Oryctolagus cuniculus: one gene and its partner. The protein of the gene in region 2 purifies or fractionates together with the protein of the main gene of each other region. This does not show direct contact. Links are inferred from orthologs where the notes say so. Each region holds a gene or a part of one and is shown on either strand. Other genes may lie near its edges.

The links. Proteins that work in one complex are often made in the same cells at the same time.
Region 1: the proteins of NEURL4 (region 2) and CCP110 purify together in Homo sapiens (affinity purification with western blotting; 4 studies listed by BioGRID and IntAct, with this or other methods). This does not show direct contact. The link is inferred for Oryctolagus cuniculus from reciprocal best matches to the Homo sapiens genes NEURL4 and CCP110.

The regions. Positions count from the first base shown.
Region 1 is NC_091450.1:21,518,652-21,526,143, reverse strand, and holds the start of CCP110 (centriolar coiled-coil protein of 110 kDa), read right to left. Parts: upstream 4,249-7,492; 5' UTR 4,028-4,248; intron 1-4,027. Other genes in the region: GDE1 (glycerophosphodiester phosphodiesterase 1), read left to right, coding at 6,744-7,004.
Region 2 is NC_091448.1:51,921,726-51,928,491, reverse strand, and holds part of NEURL4 (neuralized-like protein 4), read left to right. Parts: intron 1-83; coding exon 84-149; intron 150-294; coding exon 295-593; intron 594-778; coding exon 779-890; intron 891-983; coding exon 984-1,072; intron 1,073-1,513; coding exon 1,514-1,586; intron 1,587-1,728; coding exon 1,729-1,993; intron 1,994-2,226; coding exon 2,227-2,408; intron 2,409-2,603; coding exon 2,604-2,689; intron 2,690-2,811; coding exon 2,812-2,974; intron 2,975-3,068; coding exon 3,069-3,267; intron 3,268-3,351; coding exon 3,352-3,428; intron 3,429-3,513; coding exon 3,514-3,592; intron 3,593-4,209; coding exon 4,210-4,385; intron 4,386-4,472; coding exon 4,473-4,604; intron 4,605-4,910; coding exon 4,911-5,056; intron 5,057-5,129; coding exon 5,130-5,354; intron 5,355-5,447; coding exon 5,448-5,546; intron 5,547-5,638; coding exon 5,639-5,800; intron 5,801-5,985; coding exon 5,986-6,150; intron 6,151-6,549; coding exon 6,550-6,708; and 1 more. UniProt on the Homo sapiens protein: Promotes CCP110 ubiquitination and proteasome-dependent degradation. By counteracting accumulation of CP110, maintains normal centriolar homeostasis and preventing formation of ectopic microtubular organizing centers.

The DNA.
Region 1 (7,492 bases), on a different chromosome or scaffold from region 2:
CAATTTCAGGAAAATGGTGATGTGGCTATGAAAGCACAATGCACCTAGGACTAGCCACCACAGTCATTCAGCAAATGTTAAATATTTATGATTGCCTGTCTGCGTAACACTACAGGCAGCACCGCGTCCTTGAAATAAGCAAGGAGAGATGAGACTTCAGCAGAGTCCTAACCAGCAGTCGTGTGAGTGCAGCAACAGAAAACCGACGCACAATAATGCTCCTGTGAGTGTTCTTGTTCAGACAACTAACTGCTTAACAAAAAGAGAGAAGGCAGAGGAACTCAGTTCATGATCTAGGATACGCAAAGATGAAATAAGATGGAGTATGGCACTGTGTTAGGCACTTAAAAACTCAGCATACTAAAGTGAAAGGGACAGATTGTAATGCAATAAGAAATGAGGAGGCCGGCGCCGTGGCTCAATAGGCTAATCCTCCACCTTGCGGCGCCGGCACACCGGGTTCTAGTCCCGGTTGGGGCGCCGGATTCTGTCCCGGTCGCCCCTCTTCCAGGCCAGCTCTCTGCTATGGCCAGGGAGTGCAGTGGAGGATGGCCCAGGTGCTTGGGCCCTGCACCCCATGGGAGACCAGGAAAAGCACCTGGCTCCTGGCTCCTGCCAGGATCAGCGCGGTGCGCCGGCTGCAGCGGCGGCCATTGGAGGGTGAACCAACGGCAAAAGGAAGACCTTTCTCTCTGTCTCTCTCTCACTGTCCACTCTGCCTGTCAAAAAAAAAAAAAAAAAAAAAAAAAAAAAAAAAAAAAGAAATGAGGAAAAAGTATATTCAGAATTATGATTCGATTATGGAAAATAAAATGTAAAGCTGCTTTTGCTCAACTAGCAGTTCTATCAATAAAACCTCTTGCTACCATTCTATCGATTATAATTATGGATGCCTATGTAATTTAGGAGGGATCACCCATCATATGCAAAGTGAGAGTTTAGTTTCAAAGAAACAGTTTTCTAGAGTGTGAATGAGATTACTTTGTAAGCTTATATTCATCTTTAAAAAGTTTTAACTTTATTTATGGAAGAGACAAAAAGAGACAAAGAGATAAAGAGCTCTGACACTCGCCAAATGCCTCTAACACCTAGGGCTGGACCAGGCCAAAGCCAGGAAACAGGAACTCAATCCAAGTCTCCCACGTGGGTGGCGGGGACCCAAATTACTTCAGCCATCTTTGCTGCCACCTGCGGTCCACACCTGCAGGAAGCTGGAGTCAGGAGCCAAAAGCCGGTCCCTACATAACCATGTTTTAGTCTGTTTTAACCTGCACTATGTTCTCTTAACAACCAAAATATGCAGCAGCTAAGCTGCAAGAGCAATTCAGATAAACTCATTTAGGCTAAAATATCTCAAAAGTATGTTTGAAAACCCAATCCACATCTGCAGCGTTCCAGGGAACAGAAATAGACCCGGCATGCAAATCATGTGCTATACTTTCTATAAATACACGAGCACAAAATTCAATTTTAAAGATCTGGGAAGTTTAAGGAAATAAAATACTTCCATGGCAACAGCTTTATTTTTCTTTCAACATCACAGATGCTTCATTGTTTCAGAAGGTTATTTACATTCTTTAAATAGCAAATGTATATACTACAAATTGCAGATGGATGAGCAGTCTTCAAAAAATCTGTGGGAAATGCATAGAATGAAAAACCTACGCATGGGTTGCAGAAGCTTTCTGCACCAGGGGCAGGCATTTGGCCCAGCTGTTAATCAAGACACTTGCGTCCCCAACGGGAGCACCTGGGCTCCATACCTGGCCCCAGCTCCAGGCTCCAGCTTCCTGCTAACGCAAACTGTGGGAGGCAGGGGCTACGGCTGGGCTCGAGTAATTGCAATCCTGCCACCCATGTGGGAGACCTGGACTGAGTTCCCACTCCTGGCTTTGGCCAGGCCCAGTCCCGGCTGCCACAAGCATTTGGGGAGTGAACTAACAGACAGAGAATATCTTGATCTGTGTGTGTGTGTGTGTGTCTGCCTCTGAAATAAGTAAGATATGCTTTTAAAGTTTTTTTCTAACAAAATAACCTTGTCTTTTAGCTCCACCTTCCCATAAACCTGTGACATATCTTCACAAGCAATACGCTGGTATTATTATTATTGTAGCATAACATACAGCATGCAACAATGCTTCAACTATTCAAGTATGAGTGCTGATATGGAGGTCACAGAAACTGCAAGCTGATCCCGGGCCACAGCGGGATCCCTCCTGCCTCTGGTCTCAGCTCAGGTGCCACCTCCTCACAAGGACCAGCCCTGAGCGCCCTTCTAAATTTACCCTGCCTCAGCCACTACCCCGTTACCCTGCTGTCTTCCAGTCTTCGGACTTAGCACTCTCTGAAATTCTCTTGTCTTTCTCTGGTTTTGTCTGTCTGCCTCCGCTAAAACGTAAGCCATGTGAGCGCCGGTACCTTCGCAGCCTTGTCCGCTGCATCCCCACTGCACAGAACAACGCGGGCACGCAGCTGGCACTCAGTAAAGAACGGTGAATACATGAATCAGCTGATTCCCTCCAACAGTAAGGTAAGCCAGGGAAAGGAAGAGGGTGGGCGACACAGCAAAAGAGCTAGCAAGGAAGGATGGAGTCCAGAGAACGAAGTTTCCCTGCTGACCCGGCTCTCTGTGAGCTGCAAAGGGAGCCACTTACAAAGTGAGCCGTCTGCATCCCGCGTGGCGTGGGGCACAGGCACTGTTTCTCTACCACAATCCCTCTGCTGCCAGGTTTTACTTCCACAGAGCCTTGGCTACGAGGCCAATCCAACCACAAGGCACTGCCGGTCCACAGCCAGGAATAACGTCGGCTGTGTGCCTCCTCTTCTTTGCTTATGAGCCAGAGTTCTGCTGAGCCTTATTCAAATGAGCCTCTTGACAAACCCAAGGAACTCAGGGTCCTATCTGCTCCTTACCAGCCAAAACTGTCACCGCAGAGAGTGACAAAAATAACACGGCCAAGATCCGGCCTTGTGGGCAGAAGCGAGCTGACTGGGTACCCATCAGGACCCCCGCCAGCATAAAATTCCTGTAGCAGCAGTCAGCGGCATTTCTTCTTTTTAATCTGGTGGGGGGGGGGGGGGAGGGCATAACAAATGTAGAACGCGCCTCACCCGGGCAGCACACACACGCAGAGCGAGACGCCAGGAGGAAGATGTGACATTCGGGCACACCCTGGCTGGGCGTTCTTGGTGAGCCAGCGACTGTCCTCCAGCTCATCTTCCTCCTCTGTAAAGTGCGGGTCATGGGGACACCTGTCTCACAGGTAGTTCGTGAGAATCCAAGGAGCGAATGCACTTAGCATACACAGGGCACACAGAAATCGTCCACGCATTGTGAAGAAGAGAATGCCAGTGATGATTTGTAGCAAGAGACTAGGAACTCCAAGGAGAGAGGGGGAGAGGGCTGGCAGTGACAGTGCTGGGTTCCTGGTAGGATGCAAATGTGACTGGAAAACACGGGACTGCTTGTTCATCGCGCCGTGCGCAGACCCCTTCCCACCAGGGCAATCCCTAGCCGGCTGCCACGTGCACAAACAGGGGTAGGGGGCTGGGGTGATCACCGGATAAGAAGCAAAGGCTGGGAACCAACCAGCAGCATCAGGGGCGATCCAGAGGATTCGCCATGCTTCCACCCCGGAATCGCAGAGGCGAGGCAAACGGCGCTCCCAGGTCGCCGGTTTCGAAAGGGCCGGGCACAGCCCGGGACGGAGACGGGGGAAAACACCCCCAGCTTCGACCCCCGAACGGGGCTCTCCGGCCTCGGGCGCCCTTCTGCCCTGCACGCCGCACCCTGCAGCCGGCTCCTCGGACATGGAGCCCGCTGCGTGCGGCCGGCATCCGAGCATCGCATCCCAGCACCACCGGCCTCGGGCCCCCGCCTCCCCACGCCCGGCGCCCTTCCAGGGGCTCGAGGCCCAGGAGCCGGCACACAGCCCGCCCTCGGCACCTCAGGGCGCCAATTCCGCCTCTCCCGCTCGCCTCTCCCCGGCCACCCGCCGAGGGTCCTGCCCCCTCCTCACGCACAAACCTGATGCCCCACGGCCCCCTCAGACTTTCTCCCTTCGCCACGAGCCTTGTCAGGCAGGAAGCAAATGGCTCAACTTGTACTGACAGAGCACAGTTCGGTCCGCCGCCGCCTTCGCCTCCTCCTCCCCGCCATATTACGGGTCTCAGAAGCGACAACGCGGGCTCCTGGCAACCGCCGCCGCTGCCGCCACCTAGACTCCACCTCTCAGGGCGGGCACTTCCGGTAGTGGCTTCGCGGGCAGTTGGAACGGTTGGGCTCCAGAAAACTACAGTCCCCGAGATGCACTGCGCACCCCTGACCAAGGGCGTGTGCTTGCGGCGAGCGGAATGCATCCTGGGAAATGTAGTCTTCCCTGCTACACCGCCCTTCTAGAATTACAATTTTTCTATAACCAGAACTCTGGTTGGGGTCTGAAGCCCCTAAAGTGTTCCATAAAGCTGCCATTTTTCTTCTTATTTTTATAGCTATTACCTCTCCCTGTGTGGTCGCTGGAAAACATATCATTCACAAATATTTTAAAATATATGTATTTTATTTGAAAGGCAGAAACAGAGACAGATCTCCTCAAATGCCCGCAACACCCTGGCTGAAGCCAGGATCCCAGAACTCCTTGGGGGTCTCCCGCAGGGTGGCAGGGACAAGTACTTGAGTCCACCTGTCCATTCTCAAGGGTGCCCATTAGCAGGAAGCTGGGACAGAAGCAGATCGGGGACTCCAACCCAGGCACTCTGACATGGGGTGGAAGCATCCCAAGCAGTGTCTTTGGGGCTGCACCAAATGCCAGCCCCTCAGCAATGTTTTTGCTCTGTACATAAAAATTTACTAAATCATAGAAGCCAATTGGAAGCCTTAAGATAATCCATACGCTTTTGAATTCCAATGAGAAGGTTTGTCCAAGAGAAACAGGTAACAGATTCAAGATGGAAGAAAATTCTCTGAATGTTTTACCAAAATTGTCTATTGAAAAGTCACAGAAGACGGCGTGGTGACATAGCAGGTGGAGCCACTGCCTGCAATGCTACCATCCCATATGAGTGCCAGTTCTCGTCCCAGATGCCCCACTTCTGATCTAGAGCCATGATGATGCACCTGGGAAAAACAGCCAGAGGATGGCCCAAGTGCTTGGGCCCCCGTACCCCTATGGGAGACCTGGATGAAGCTCCTGGCTCTTGGCTTTGGCCCAACCCAGCCCATTATAGCAGACATCTGGGGAGTAAGCAAGTGGATAGAAGATCTCTCTCGCTCACTCACTTTCTCTCTCTCTGTCTCTCCCTGTAACTTGCCTTTCAAATAAATAAGTAAATCTTAAAGAAAAAGGAAAAATGTGTCACCAGCCATTCAAAATATGATTTAGCAGCCTCTCTCCATTCCCTGAGTAGGCTTCCCCTTGGGTCTCTGTTCCTCTTTCTGGTGCTTGTCTTTGACTCTATAAAAGGGAAAGGTTAGAACTGCTATCACAGGGTGGTTGCAAAGCACAACTCAGATAACTCTCCCAGCGCCTGGTACATTAACCTTTAGTAGTAGGAAAAATAAGATTAGGAGGGTGGCAGTGGAAAAGTCACAAGCCACTGGCTTCATGTTAGCCCTGACCCTGCCATTACCCACCCCATTCTTTGCCTCTCCTTGGTTTCCTTACCACTGGGATCGGCATGCTGACATAGGGTAAGGGCGCTGCCTGCAACACCGACAGCCCATAAGAGCACCAGGTCAAGTCCTGGCTGCTGCACTTCCAATCCAGCTCCCTGCTAATGCACCTGGGAAAGCAGCAGAAGATGGCCCAGGTACGTGGGTCGCTGCAGCCACGTGGGAGACAGGGTTGGAAATCTTGGCTCCTGGCTCCAGCCTGGCCCAGTCCTGACTGTTGCAGTCATTTAGGAGTGAACCAGCACATGGAAGATCTCTCTCTCTCTCTCTCTCTCTCTCTCTCTCTCTCTCTCTCTCTCCACTCCCTTACCTTTCAAGTAAATAAATACATTTTTTCTTCAAAAAAGAAATCATTGAAATTCCTGTCAATTCTTCCTTTGCTCTGTTCTTCCATCCTCTCGGAATCACAAAAATCCTTCGAAAGTGGACTGAAACCACCCCTCTGAGATAATGCCCACTGCTGCAGATGTGGTGAGTCTACGCGAGCTAGGCATAGGCAGTGTTTGCTGGACAGCACCCGAGGCAGGATCAGTGCTGTGTGAACACTATCATCCTCCATAGGGCAGGGACCCCGCAGTCCTGCTCAGGGCTGGGTCCGGAGCACCCACGCCTGTGTGGGCACATCTCCATTGGAATACATAGTCTTAGCTCCCTGCACCTTCACGCTCCCCAGGACCTCCCTCTCCTCGAGGACGGACGAAGGAGTCACTTCAGTCCCTCCCACTCCTGCGGTCGCCGGCGGGCTCTGTCCCCTTCCCCTCCACACTCGACCCAAGAAGCCCAAACCCCAGAGAAACCCCCAAGCCTCTTTGGAACTTGAGCCTGGGGCCTGGGCCCGCCCCCGTTGCCACGGCAGCAGTTCCGCCCCTCGCGCCGGCGATCTCGGGCGCTGATTGGCTGGGCGGCCAGCTCCCTCTCGGGATGTGGCCGCCGCCGCCATTGTGCGGCGCTGGTCCCCTCGGAGGGTGCCGGAGGCGGCCAGTGCTCGGCCTCTGCCCCCTCGCCTCTTGCTGCCCCGGCCCGGGAGCCCGGCCGGCCCGGGACTCCCGTCCTTGCCGGTGCGGGCGCCGGCATGTGGCTGTGGGAGGACCAGGGGGGCCTCTTGGGCCCCTTCTCCTTCCTGCTGGTGCTGCTGCTGCTGCTAACGCGCAGCCCCTTCAATGCCTGCCTCCTCACCGGCAGCCTCTACGTCCTGCTGCGGCTCTTCAGCTTTGAGCCGTTGCCCTCCCGCCGGGCCCTGCAGGTGCTCAAGCCCCGGGACCGCGTGTCCGCCATCGCCCACCGGGGCGGCAGCCACGACGCGCCCGAGAACACGCTGGCGGCCATTCGGCAGGTGAGCCCCCCTCGCCTCGCGCCCCCTCGGCCCTCGTGGGAGCTCGGGCTTGAGCTTGCCCTTCCGGGGCCTCCCTGGGCTGCTTCCCACCCGTCGTCCGCAGGGACCCCTCCCGGAGCCCCGTGTCCCGGAGCCCCGCGTCTCCCCACGCAGAGTCGCTGCGCGCGGGACTCCGCGTTCCCAGAGCCTCCAGTGACCCGTGCCGGCGAAGAAGAAGGACAGTGACAGGGAGGGCCGAAGGAGGCCGTTTGAGGTGGAGTAGTGACCCTGGAACTGAAGTTAGGAGAAAGATCATCTGGGGAAACGGGTTCCAGGAACTGGAAACAGCAGGTGCAAAGGCCCGGAGGTAGGAATGAGGTTACCAGGCGCGTTCTGGTAACGGTGTGTGCCCTGCCTTCCAGGAACAGAACAAAGGCCGGTGTCTGAATACTCTGGGGCACCCAGCAAGTGCAGTGGGGTCCTGGACAGTGAGCCTGGGTATCCTAAAT
Region 2 (6,766 bases):
GGCTCAAGGAGGGGGTCTCCTGTCTGTGGGCCCTGGTGCAGGGACTGAACCCTTATTCCCCTCCCCTCCCACCTGGTCCCCAGCCTTCATGGTGTCCCCAGCGCAGGCCCGGCCGGAGACGTTTCCTAACAGCCTTGACTCGCATAATGGTGAGGGCTTCGGGGAAGCCCTGGGAGGGGAAGTGGGCAGTGAGGTGGACAGGGGAGGGGCCGCAGGACAGGGCCAGGGAGAGAGGGCGCCAAGCCCAAGGGCGCGGTCTCATCGCGCTGTCCTTCCTCCGTCCTGCTGCTGTAGACTTTGCCAGCATGGAGCTGTCGGAGGTGGTGAGCAACACCATCCTGTCTGCCTACAACGGGGGGCTCCTGAACGTGAACCTGAGCTCCCCCCCGGCAGGGGAAGGGCTGGCATCCAGCGGCGCTGCCACCTCGCCCATCCTCACTTCCAATGACGCCCTGCTCTTTCACGAGAAGTGTGGGACCCTCATCAAACTCAGCAACAACAACAAGACAGCTGAGCGGCGGCGGCCCCTGGATGAGTTCAACAACGGGGTCGTCATGACGAACCGCCCGCTGCGGGACAATGAAATGTTTGAGGTGTGCAAACCCTGGGGTTTGGCCAGCGCCTCACCCTCTGGGAGCTGAAGATGGGGCTGGATAGGGAGGGAGGTGCTGGCAGAGGGGTGGGGAAGGAGGGCGTGCTCTGGGAAGAACCAAGGCCTGGGGCCCCTCCTCTGTATTTACATTCCCTGGTCTTCCCTTCCGCTGTCACTGGACCCCAGATCCGCATCGACAAGCTTGTAGATAAGTGGTCGGGATCCATCGAGATCGGTGTCACCACGCACAACCCCAACAGTCTGGAGTACCCAGCCACCATGACCAACCTGCAGTCAGGTGCCCGCACTGGCAGGGGTGGAGGCGCAGGCCTGGGGTTTCCTGAGGGGAAGAAGCCTGTGTCCTAACCAGGGCGTCCACCTCCCGCACCAGGCACCATCATGATGAGCGGCTGTGGGATCCTCACCAACGGCAAAGGCACCCGCCGCGAGTACTGCGAGTTCAGTCTGGATGAGCTGCAGGTGCGCGGGGCCCAGAGCCTCCGGCCGCCCTCCTGGGCGACGCGGGGATTCTGTGTCCCTGGCTGGCCGCCATGCATTCAGTGGTCTCTGACCCAGAACTGAGGTTCCTTCTGAGGAGGTGGGGTTGCCCGGCAGCCTCTAAAATGAGGCTGTTCACAGCGCAGCACGTATTTTATAGGTTGAGGTTTGAGGGAGTTGACGCCCGTAAGACGGTTTAACTCAGCGCCTGACTTGCACTGAGTGTTCAGGAACTGCAGACGTGGCCATGTGTGGAGAACAGGGCCCGGGCACCTGTCCTCCTGTGCCCCAGGGTGATCTGAGGCTAGCGTGGACATCTCTGGGAGCTGCTGTCCTGTGGAGGGGGTGGCAGCAAGGCCCAGCGCTGTTCTGGGGCCTGACGGTGGGTAGATTCCAGGCTCACGGCTTTTCTGCTTTGAATAGGAGGGAGACCACATCGGCCTCACGAGGAAGTCCAACTCTGCCCTGCACTTCTTCATCAATGGCATCGACCAGGGTGAGGGGCTGCTCGCAGGTGCTGTTGGGCCAGAGCTTTCAGCCGGACGGGGAGCATAGGGTCAGGACCTCAGCCTCCTGCCTCTTGTGGGTGCTCGGTTTCCCCGTGGTTGACTCCCCTCCCCCCGTTCTCCACTGCACAGGTGTGGCCACCCCGCTGACGCCCCCAGTGGTGTACGGTGTGGTGGATTTGTACGGGATGGCAGTGAAGGTGACCATTGTCCACAATAATAACCACAGCGACCGTCTCCGCCGCAACAATGCCATCCTGCGGGCACTGTCCCCCGAGGGCGCCCTCCGCCGAACCGCTCCTGCCGCCCAGGCGGAACCCGAGCGCCTGCTCTTCCACCCTAACTGTGGACAGAAGGCAGCCATCACCCACGAGGGACGCACTGCCCTGAGGCCCCAGTATGGCCCACGGGGTGGGGAGAAGCCTGCAGAAGGGGCTCTAATGGGACTGGAGAGGGGGTGGCTGGACAAGTGAGAGGCAGAGGGAGTCGGGTCTGGGGCGTTTTGGACAGGAGAGTGGGGCGCCTCCCGCAGTGGGAGGTTCAGTTGGTTGGCTGGGGCTGGCGGGCGTCACTGGGGGAAGCCTTGACACCGAGTGTTGGGATCTGACTCCCCATGTGCTGTGCCCTCAGTGCCACCGACGACTTCAATCATGGCGTGGTACTCAGCAGCAGAGCCCTGCGGGATGGAGAGGTGTTCCAGGTGCGCATTGACAAGATGGTGGACAAATGGGCTGGCTCCATTGAGATTGGCGTCACCACTCACAACCCTGCCTATCTCCAGTTGCCCTCCACCATGACCAACCTGCGCTCTGGTGAGCTCCCGAGAAGGCCAGGGCCAAGGTGGGGTCCCAGGGAGGAAGCTGTCCCCGAAGCCCTGACCCTCATCCTCATCTAGTGGCTGGGGAGCACCCAGTGGGCAGGGCAGAGCTGTTCTGCGGGGGCTGCCATGCAGAGGAGAGAGGCCCCGCCTTCCCTCTCGTGTCCTCTGCCACTCCTCATCCCCCTAGGGACCTGGATGATGACCGGGAACGGGGTGATGCACAACGGGACGACCATCCTGGACGAGTATGGGCACAACCTGGACCGCCTCAAGGTGGGAGAGTGAGGGTCCTATCTGGGCACAGCAGCAGGGGAGGCAGGCGAGGGGGGCCGATGCAGGACCAGCCCAGGCAGGAACTCCGCCTGACTCCTCACTCTAGCCCCCCTTCTTCCAAGGCAGGGGACACGGTGGGCGTGGTGCGGCGGGAGGACGGGACGCTCCACTTCTTCGTCAACGGGATGACTCAGGGCCCCGCCGCCTGGAACGTGCCTCCCGGCGTCTATGCCGTCGTTGATCTCTACGGCCAGGCAGCCCAGGCCACCATCGTGGACGACGTGGGTGAGGGCCGGGCAGCGCTGGGCAGGGGCTTGGGGTGGCCTTGGGAGGCCTTAGAGACACCTGGCAACCCGACGGGTGACGTCCACTCTTGCAGAGGTGCCCCCGGTTCCTGAGCCCCTCCCTGAGGGGAACAACCAGGTGTCCCCGAGCTCTCCGTCGTCAGGGGCCGGGGGCTCTGACCTGCGCTTCCACCAGCTGCACGGCAGTAACGCCGTCATCACCAACGGCGGCCGCACCGCGCTGCGCCACAACTGCCGCAGCGAGTTCAACGACGCCATCGTCATCTCCAACCGGTCAGTCTGCGCGCTGGCGCTCCTGCTTCCCGCGGCCCCGCCTCAGCCTCCCCAGGGCCTCTCTCACTGCCGCCTCCTCGGCAGGGCCCTGCGCGACGGAGAGCTTTTTGAAATTGTCATTCAGAAGATGGTGGACCGCTGGTCAGGCTCCATTGAGGCAGGTGAGGGACATCTGTGTGAGTGCTGGGGGGTCCTGGGGCCTGTGGCCTCGGGGTCAGTGCTGACCAGTTCCTGCCTCCTCCCCAGGAGTGACTGCTATTCGGCCTGAAGACCTGGAGTTCCCCAACACGATGACCGACATTGACTATGATACGTGGATGCTGAGGTTGGGCTTCCTGCCTTTTTTTTTTTTTAAAGATTTATTTATATATTTATTTATGTGAGAGGCAGAGTTACAGAGAGAGGGGGAGAGAAAGTGAGAGAGGTCTTCCATCCGCTGGTTCAGTCCCTAAATGGTCGCAACGGCTGGGGCTGGGCCAGGCTGAAGCCAGAAGCCAGGAGCTTCCTCCGGGTCGCCCATGCAGGTACAGGGTCCCAAGCACTTGGGCCATCCTTCGCTGCTTTCCCAGGTCTTAGCAGGGAGCTGGATTGGAAGAGGAGCAGCCTGCCAGTACTGCAGGCTGAGGCTTAGCCTTTGATGCTGTAGCACCAACCCCAGGCTTCCTACTTTTAAGAGCAGCTGAGGGGAGGCTGAATGGAGCCGGCTGGGAGGGGCAGAGCCAGGGGACTGGCGGTCCCTTCTGTCACAGAAGCCCTGCCTAGCCCTACAGGAACTCGATCTTTCTTCCTTGTAGGATGGTTTCTGCTTTGCCCTGGGGGACCTCAGGATGGGGCTTCTGGCCCAGACCAAGACCCCAGTCTGGGTCTGACCAGCAGGGACTGAGCGGGGGCCAGTGTGGGGATGAGGCTGGGAGGCTGAACACACTCCTGCCGTCCCTGCAGCGGCACCGCCATCATGCAAGACGGCAACACGATGCGCAACAACTACGGGTGTGACCTGGACGCGCTGGGCACGGGGGCGCGCATCGGCATGATGCGCACCGCCAAGGGCGACCTGCACTACTTCATCAACGGCCAGGATCAAGGCGCCGCCTGCTCAGGCTTGCCTCCGGGTAAAGGTGACTACTCTGTGGCTTTGGGCCTGCACCCTCAGGCCGTGCATCCCAGACCTCGGGCGTCTGACCGTGGCTTCCTCTGCCGTCCAGAGGTGTATGCAGTCGTGGATCTCTATGGCCAGTGTGTGCAAGTGTCCATCACTAACGCCACCGGCCCCATGGACAACAGCCTGGCGACCAGCAACAGCGCCACCGAGAAGTCCTTCCCCCTGCATTCCCCAGGTGCAGTGGCAGGGAGGGGGCTGCAGGCTCTGCTTTCCTGCTGTGGGCCCTGGGGGTGCCGCAGGCACAGCCCACAGTGGCACGCTGTCAAGTGGGGGAGGTTATGCCTGGTACACAGAGCCTGACACCGTGGCCTGGGCGTGCCAGGTGTGGGCACGGGTGGTGTAAAGGTGTTGGGGCTCTAAGGAGTAGTGGCAGAGGGGGCCCTTTGTGTCCACTTCCCACTTCATCTGAAGGCTCTGCCCTGTGTCTCGCGTGAAGCCTGCAGCCCCAGTCCTACCCCTTCCCTGGTGCCGTCTTTCACAGTGGCTGGTGTGGCTCACCGATTCCATAGTACCTGTGGCAAGAACGTCACCCTGGAGGAGGACGGCACGAGGGCCGTGCGGGCGGCTGGCTATGCTCACGGCCTCGTCTTCAGCACCAAGGAGCTCAAGGCTGAGGAAGTCTTTGAGGTGGGCTGTGCAGGTGGGACAGTGGGCGCCGCGGGCAGCACGGCAGGGCCAGCTGATGCTGTCTCTCACGCAGGTCAAAGTGGAAGAGCTGGATGAAAAGTGGGCGGGGTCCCTCCGGCTGGGACTGACCACACTAGCCCCAGGGGAGATGGGGCCTGGGGCAGGCGGTGGCCCCGGGCTGCCTCCCTCCCTGCCAGAGCTCCGGACGAAGACCACCTGGATGGTGTCCAGCTGTGAAGTGAGGCGTGACGGGCAGCTGCAGAGGATGAACTATGGCCGGAACCTAGAGAGGCTGGGGGTGAAGCAGCTGGCTCCGGGGACTGGGAGGGCTTGGGAGTGGGGGTGGCAGGGAGGTGGGCTGAGCATCTGCCCTGTCCCACATCGGTCCTAGGTGGGCAGCCGTGTGGGTATTCGCCGGGGGGCCGACGACACAATGCACATCCTGGTAGATGGAGAGGATATGGGGCCTGCAGCGACTGGCATCGCCAAGGTAGACCGGAGAGCGTCCTCGGGTTCCAGGATGGGCTCCTGAGTTGGGGCCTTCCTCTGATCTCTGGTTTTCTGGGTCCTGTGTGCCTGCAGAACGTGTGGGCTGTGTTGGATCTCTATGGGCCAGTGCGCTGTGTCTCCATTGTCAGTTCTACCCGGCTGGAGGAGTCAGAAGGCACCCAGCCTCCTTCCCCCAGCTCGGATACCGGCAGTGAGGTCGAGGAAGATGACGAAGGCGAGGAGCATGGCCTGGGAGTAAGAGGCTGTGTGGGGCCTACTGGGCATGCGGACGGGCAGTGGGCAGCCATTGGATGCCTGGCCTTTCTTGGCTCCTCTGATGGTCCGGCAGAGGCCTTGTCCTTGAGCTCTGGGTAAACCCCCACAGTGGGTTGGTCGTGACTTCAGCAACCCATGCAGTTCAGTCTCTTCCTCTGCCCCAGGGTCAGGATCAAGTGGATGTTGTGCCCACAGCACTCGAGTTCCTGGAGAACCATGGGAAGAATATCCTCCTGTCCAACGGGAATCGGACAGCCACGCGGGTGGCCAGCTATAATCAGGGCATTGTGGTCATCAGCCAGCCCCTCATTCCCCAGCTGCTGGTCCAGGTGGGCCCTGCCTCCTGCCAGCTCCTCCCAGTCCAGGGCAACCCAGGGCCAGCCCTCCTGGAGAGAGGCCTTTCCAGGAGAAAAGTGAAAGGCAAGCCCCTGGATGAGCTGCCTGGGCTTTTGTTCCTGTCTGTAATGGGGCTGAAAATTAGTTCCCACCAAATGCAGGGCGGGGCTGGGCGTCCGAGGGAGATACCTGGGAGGAGGGCTTTCTGCTGCAAGTGGAAAGTGGAGGAAGCCCCTGAGAGACACAGCCAGACCATGGCTTCCAGGAGAAAGCAGCTTCTGGCCCCTGCATCAGAAAGGGTGGCTTCCCAGGCCACGCCCTGGCAGGTGCAGAATGCCCGCCCCATCCTGCTAGGTGGGAGGAGGGGTTTCGAGTAGTCCTGTCTCCCCCAGGTGCGGATAGACTTCCTGAACAGACAGTGGACGTCTTCTCTCGTCCTGGGCGTCATCACCTGCCCACCCGAGAGGCTCAACTTCCCTGCTTCTGCCTGTGCCCTCAAACGGGCAGCCTGGCTGCTGCGGGGCCGCGGCGTCTTCCACAACGGTCTCAAGGTGAGCAGGGAGCCAGGGAGAGTGAAGGCGGCCAGGTCTCCAAGGAGGGAGGGGTGGC